Linked DNA regions of Kluyveromyces lactis. Each later gene encodes a partner of the first gene's protein in a complex. Links are inferred from orthologs where the notes say so. Each region holds a gene or a part of one and is shown on either strand. Other genes may lie near its edges. The genes, in order: SAC1 and VPS74.

Evidence for each region.
Region 2: the proteins of SAC1 (region 1) and VPS74 are in contact, whole or in part, in a crystal structure (PDB 4TU3), measured with the Saccharomyces cerevisiae proteins. The link is inferred for Kluyveromyces lactis from reciprocal best matches to the Saccharomyces cerevisiae genes SAC1 and VPS74. Residues at the interface, in NP_012710.1 of Saccharomyces cerevisiae: Gln9, Tyr69, Ile95, Ser97, Thr98, Lys99, Phe100, Asn101, Ser102, Arg103, Ile104, Ile112, Glu116, Lys120; in NP_010660.1 of Saccharomyces cerevisiae: Ser164, Gly165, Glu166, Thr167, Trp168, Asn169, Leu170, Leu171, Lys172, Ile173, Gln176.

Annotation. Positions count from the first base shown.
Region 1 is NC_006038.1:1,261,892-1,265,769, forward strand, and holds SAC1 (phosphatidylinositol-3-phosphatase SAC1), read right to left. Parts: upstream 2,410-3,878; coding exon 532-2,409; downstream 1-531. Other genes in the region: TRP3 (bifunctional anthranilate synthase/indole-3-glycerol-phosphate synthase), read left to right, coding at 1-307; DOA1 (Doa1p), read left to right, coding at 2,725-3,878. UniProt on the Saccharomyces cerevisiae protein: Phosphoinositide phosphatase which catalyzes the hydrolysis of phosphatidylinositol 3-phosphate (PtdIns(3)P) and phosphatidylinositol 4-phosphate (PtdIns(4)P). Has low activity towards phosphatidylinositol-3,5-bisphosphate (PtdIns(3,5)P2).
Region 2 is NC_006041.1:216,558-219,522, reverse strand, and holds VPS74 (Vps74p), read left to right. Parts: upstream 1-1,326; coding exon 1,327-2,301; downstream 2,302-2,965. Other genes in the region: ubiquitin-specific protease UBP2, read left to right, coding at 1-876; CTS2 (putative chitinase), read right to left, coding at 2,487-2,965.

The DNA.
Region 1 (3,878 bases):
AAGTTTGGATTTAGAACCTCTAGTGGAAGTAAACTCCGCAGAAGAACTAAAACGTGCGTTGGCAATTGGATCAAGAGTGATCGGAGTTAATAACAGAGACTTGCACTCTTTCAACGTAGATTTGAGTACTACCTCAAAATTGGTCAGTTCTGTACCAGAGGGAACCCTACTAATTGCTTTATCTGGAATAACAATAGCAGCTGATGCTGATCAATATAAAAAGGAAGGTGTTCATGGTGTTCTTGTTGGAGAAGCTCTCATGAGAGCTGAATCTGTAAATAAATTCATCGAGGAGCTAATCAACTAATGATACCAGTCCATTTCATCCTTCGTTATGTATGTATCCACCAACTTGTAATGATTGTATTTCTGTAATTTTAGATATAGACGTTAAAGTAAGAATGATACAGATACTATAAATTCAAAAGGTATCGAACATTAAAACTGGGAAGAAGAAGTCATAAAAGTAGAAACGTCATGGAGTAAATAAACATGAAAATGAAAGCTCTATACATTAAGGAATGTTCAATGCTAGTCCCTCTTGAAGGAATTTGGTTTAACGAACTTTGGATCAGGAACGTATCTAACACCTTTGAATTGTTTCTCCTTGTTATGCGTGTGCTCAGCAATCAAATACCCTAAATCGACTAACTTTGGCCAGTTCACATATTGAATACCCCTCTTAAATACGAAATGTGTGCATAAGACAACAATACTGAAGGATCCGAAAAAGAAAGATAGATTCTTCGCACTTGTGAAATGATTCTTGGGGAAAAGTATAGTTGCCATCATAACTGTGAGGGCAGCGTAGATCATGGTAGGAACCGCTTGAATTAGCATTGGTCTTCTATCTGGGAATGGTGAATGGACCACACTTGCGTAAGGTCTGAAATTTCCCAGGAACAAATCGAATGCATCTTCCCTTGGGCCATCTGTCAAATTGTTTTGATAGTAACGAGAAATAGAGTTAATACCATCCTTTATAGCACCTAGGTAAGTACGTTTGCCAGTTCTAGTGAAATCGGTCTTCAATGCCCCAGTACCTGAATAAGCAACACTGACAGCGTCTGCGTTATCTGCCCAAAAGCTTTGGAATTCAAACAACAAGTTCTTGTCTAATTCCCATAAGCCGGTATCGTCGGTCAATCCAACAGTCTTAAACTCTTCTTGTAACACCCAATGAGCTAACACGGATTGAACCACATTAGTTCTGTCCAGGCAATCCATACAGTTAGTTCTAACCACCGATTGCTGCTTGGAGAAAACTTGCAGTGTAACACCATTAGCATCCAAAGTCTTGTGGAAGAAATCTTTATTGGACAAGCCCATTGATTGCAAATGATCCAATAACAATTTGACCTTGTGCCATTGCATATTCCTACATTCGTGATGGAAATCGAAGTAGATATAGTGAAGCTTTGGGTCATTTAAGGCAGTAACAACCTGTTCGTAAGCTTCCTTCACAGGTAATTCGTGTCCCTTTTGATTGACTAGATTCACCAAATAGTTTTCATTGTACAACCGAGTTTGTTCATCGAAATGCTTCTTGGTTGCATCTAACGAGCTGTTCTCAGCCAACAACAAGTTCGGCTTGTACTTTAAATTGTTCAACTCTGCCCAATAAACTGGCACGGAACCCCTCGTTTGTAAAAAAGAGAAGAAGTGATAGCCATCCTTCATTGGCTTTTGAACACACAGCACCTGCTCTGTCTCGTTGAAGTTACCAACATTACCGTGTTCGTCAATGCCTCTGCGGAAATATCTAGTTCCGGCCCTAAATATACTCCTTCTCGTGATCAATCCAATCGAAATCGGAGTCGCATGGAAAACAGTATCAACAACCTTAGCATACCCATAGATCATAGGAATAATGAAGTCTGATACCCTGTCATCAACTTTAGCAAGCTTCTGCAAGGATTCTGTCACGTAATAGTTCCAAAAGAACCTCCTGTCCGCTTGTTCCCACGACACAGCTGATGACTCTAGTTCTTCGTTCCTTTGAGCACTGTTTGTCAAATCGTAACCATACGAATAGAACAGAGTCGCACCAGCTAAATGCTGTTCCAATAACTGCAAATACTGAGACTCATCAGAATCTGGTCTCTGCTTCTTATCAACGCTGATAATCGTGTGCTCAGCCACCTTGTACACATTATGACCGTTCAAACAACCAGCTTCCTCGACTCTATTGGCAATAATCACGTACTTACCGAACTTCAACTTGATGATACCGATCAACGCAGCCACCTTCATGATATTTCCACGAACAGGAAACTCAGTACTGCCCAAAACGTTCACCTCGTTCTCGTGTGTTGACACATTTAGAACCGCGTCGTTCTTCGAAGAAGAACTGGCTACCTTTAACAGGACCCTATCCTTCTCCTGGCACACAAGTAACGGACCTCTCATTTTCTAAGGAGATTCTCAGAGCACTGAATTGAATACGATTCAGCAAATTCAGGTACAATTGGATCCTCTGTTGGCGTGTCTCGTGTACTTGATAAACTAATTCATGATAAAGTTGCGTAACTGAATTTGTTTATTTCGAAAGTTTGATTTAAACAACTAAGCGAATGTCAAAAATAAAGGTATTAGCGTGGGAAAGAGCAACTACTGAATAAAACAGGGCTTTCCAAGTATACAAAGTATTTTAATCAGGTTCAGGTGATTTTATTTGATAGGTCTAATAGTTGTAATTGTACTGGTACCAATTTTAAGTGAGAGATGTACCAACTTAGCGCACAATTGCGTGGTCACACACAGGACGTGAGGAGTGTGGTTTCTTTAAGTACGACTCAGGTGGCAAGTGCCTCTAGAGATGGTACAGTTAGGATATGGAATTTGGATGCGGATGGGAATTGGGAAGGTTCTATTGCGTTTAGCAGTGAAAAGTTTGTGAACAGTTTGACGTACGATGCTAAGCAGTGTGTTCTATTTTGCGGTGGCCAAGAAAAGATTATTTACGGTGTGTCTCCGTTGCTTGCTCTGGGGCAAGAACCGGTTTATACTTTAGTAGGCCATGAGGGGAACATTTGCTCACTTTCTGGAGACTTTGAAAGCCTAGTGAGCTCCTCTTGGGACAAGACTGCTAAAGTGTGGACTAATGGGATTGTAAAATGGGAACTTAAGGGACATTCGGCCTCTGTATGGGATGCCAAGCTCTTGAACGATGGGAGCGTCCTTACAGCGTCAGCAGATACTACAGTTAAGTTATGGAAAAATGGTACGCTGGCTAAGACTTTTGATAAGTTACATTCCGATGTGGTTAGAAATATATGTATTCTTGACGATGGAAAGCATTTTGTTAGTTGTTCCAACGATGGTACTTTGAAGCTATCCAACTTGGAAGGCGGTATTTTGCACGAGTTTATAGGTCATGAAAGCTTTGTCTATGCTGTGAAACAACTGCCAAGCGGAGATATTGTGTCTTGTGGTGAGGATAGAACCGTTCGTATTTGGAACATGGATGGAACTATCAAACAAGTCATTACTTTACCAGCGATCTCCATTTGGACCGTCGATGTGTTACCCAATGGCGATATTGTTGTTGGTAGCAGTGACAAAATCATCAGAATCTTTACTGAGAATGAGCAAAGACTTGCATCCCAGGAAGAGATCACATCTTTGCAAAAACAAGTGGAGGAATCTGCCGTTAACGCACAGACGATGGGGTTTGACGAATCGAAGTTGAAACCATCGTCAGTGCTTCAGAAGCCGGGTGAAAAGGAGGGTCAGATTGTTGTTGTCAAGAATGAGAATGGTGTTATAGAGGCACATCAGTTCACGGGAGGTTCTTGGAGTAAAGTCGGAGACGTTGTTTCATCTGCCGGTAGCGATAATAAGGTTGAATATGAGGGTAAGAATTACGATTTCGTGTT
Region 2 (2,965 bases), on another chromosome or scaffold:
GTCAATGATGAGGCTTCTGTCCGGACAAAATATGAAAGGTTTTTATCCTTATTGGTTAACACCGGTGACCATCCAAAGGATATTTATGATGCTTTAGATTTTTACTTTCAGAATGACTATTTGAATTTGGAGGAGTATGGTGATGTAAAGAGAACTGTATCTATCTCAGAGTTACCTGCGGTTCTACAAATTCAAATCCAGAGAGTCTATTATGATAGAGAAAAATTCATGCCTTTCAAGTCTATCGAGCCGCTACCTTTCGGCGAAACGTTGTACATGGATAGATATATGGCTACCGAGGATCCAAAACTATTAGCAGAAATTCAACAAAACGCAGAATTGAAACAGAAACTTCAAGACTTAAAGCAAAGACAGAGGAAACTACTCTCACAGAACGAAATAGGATTAACTTTAAAATCCTCGCTCATTGAGACCAAAAAGTTCTTACAGTCCGGTACCTTGAAAGCGCACGATATTGATGCGGACAATATCCCCTCATCGATCGCCTACATTGATATTTTAATCAATAACATAGACGAGGAACTAAAGAGCTTATTCAACAAAATTACAGATCTAGAGACAACTATTTCCCAACAGTTCAGCGAATTCAAACATATCGGCTATTCTTTATTCGCCGTTTTCATTCATCGTGGTGAAGCAAGTTACGGCCATTACTGGGTCTATATTAAAGATCACACCAAAAATGGTATCTGGAGGAAGTATAATGATGACTCAGTTACAGAGGTGCCACAATCGGAAGTATTCAACTTCACGGAGGGTAATACGGCCACTCCATACTTTTTGGTCTACGTCCGTGAAGGTCAAGAACAAGAAACTATCGAACCATTGAAACGAATTCTTCAACAACAGGAGTAACCCGTGTCGCTCTTAAAGTGGCATAAATATGATTTACATTATATTAATTAAAAGATAGATCAGTATGTAATGCAGGAATTGGTAAAATTTATAAGATCTGGCGTTCAGTTAGGCTTACTGTGCGGATACTATCTTCGATTCAATATCCACATGTGAGGGTAAATTGATTTTCGCAAGGCAGGCAGGAGTTCTTAATTAGTTAGTTACCTTGATCTAATTTGAAAAAAAAAAACATCAAAATGAAAAATAACTAACTGATTTTGATCAAACCTAGTTTATATCTATGGTGAATGATTTTAAAGATTTACTCTTCGTGTCACAATTGGCTTTAAGTCATTAGGTTTGACTTGAAGGTAGGATTGGAATTCTGTTATCCGACAATTGGACTGTGACTTGTCAAGAAGTGAACTTGCAAAGTTGCACGCCGAAAAAATAGGGTAAAAATTCATCATGTCTTTACAGCGTCGCCGAGTTAATAAAGGTGATACAACGGAATCAATCCCTCAAATAGATAATGAGCATGATCATAAGATTGTATATGACGAGCAAGAGGCGAAACTAAGGGACAACACTAGTGTTCCTAAGTTGACCTTAATGGAGGAAGTTTTGTTGATGGGACTAAAGGATAAACAGGGATATTTATCATTCTGGAACGATAATATCTCGTACGCCCTACGTGGGTGCATCTTGATAGAACTAGCGTTACGAGGTAAGATTAGATGTGTTGATGATCCAGCAAGAAAGAGATACGATGTCAGTGAGAGATTAATTGAAGTCATAGACGGAAGTAAAACTGGCGAGGTCTTACTTGATGAAAGTTTATCTTTAATGAAGAACGATCCACCAACTTCAATTGTCGGATGGATTGACCTACTTAGTGGCGAGACTTGGAATCTCCTAAAGATCAATTATCAATTGAAACAAGTTAGGGAAAGATTAGCAAAGGGATTGGTTGACAAAGGTGTTTTGAGAACTGAAATGAAGAACTTCTTTTTGTTTGACATGGCCACACACCCGATCACTGATACAACTTGCAAGGAATCTATTAAAAGAAGAATACTATCGATACTGGTTTCAAGGAATGCTGAATTGACTTATAATACCTATTTCCCACAAGATGTTTCCTTTAAATATATTAGAACCTTGTCTTTAATCTGTGGTGCTTATGGTGCTAATGTTCTAGAAAATGTCTTGGCTACCTTAGATTACGAAGTGAGAGATACAGGGTTTGCTCGTGCGGATGAAATTCTAGCTCAATTTTCAGAATTTCCGTTCCCACTCGATAAACAAACAAGCACCGGTGTTTCAGTGAACTTAAATAAAGAGATTTCACAGGAATTAAATAATCATCCGGGTTCAGATTTGCAACTTGAAGTTGTTGCTGGAGTTTTTGAGGTCTTTTCACGTATGGACACATTGTTATAAAGTCCATAGTATTATGATTCGAAGAACAGTGTGGATCATTCACATATATATATATACTTGTATCTCAAAAATTCTACGGACAATATCCGACTAGTTCTAAATCACAATGTAAACTCGATTTGAGCACAAATTCCATTACTTGGTAATGATATTCATTCATTGAAATCTGATATGAAAGGCTGAAGTTAGAGCTTCTGGAAAAGACTTGAAATATAATCCTTGGGGTACTTTTGTAAATGAAATTGCTTTACTTTATCGCTTTTGAACAATGATACAAAGCCTTCAGACAGGCCAATTTCCTTACTAAATGCGTTAACTAGTGACTTCCTGGGGTCTTTGGAATCCCCACAAGATTCCCACCAAAATCCACCGTTCAAGTTTTTCTTCTTGATGTATTTTCCCTTGATATCCATGGATTGAACATTGTCATACCCCACAAATGTTCTGGATTTAGGATCAAAGCAGTAAGCTGAGACTGCATTTGAGTCAAACTGTTCCTTGCTACCATCGATCGGTAGTTGATTATATAACCAAATCCCTGGCTCACCCTCAGATCCACCCCCAACTCCGTGATATTTCTTGCCAAGATAATTATCATCATTTGTTTCGACATTGGTGAAACCACGTCCATAGGCCGCCATACCAAGTGCTATTCTACGTGAAG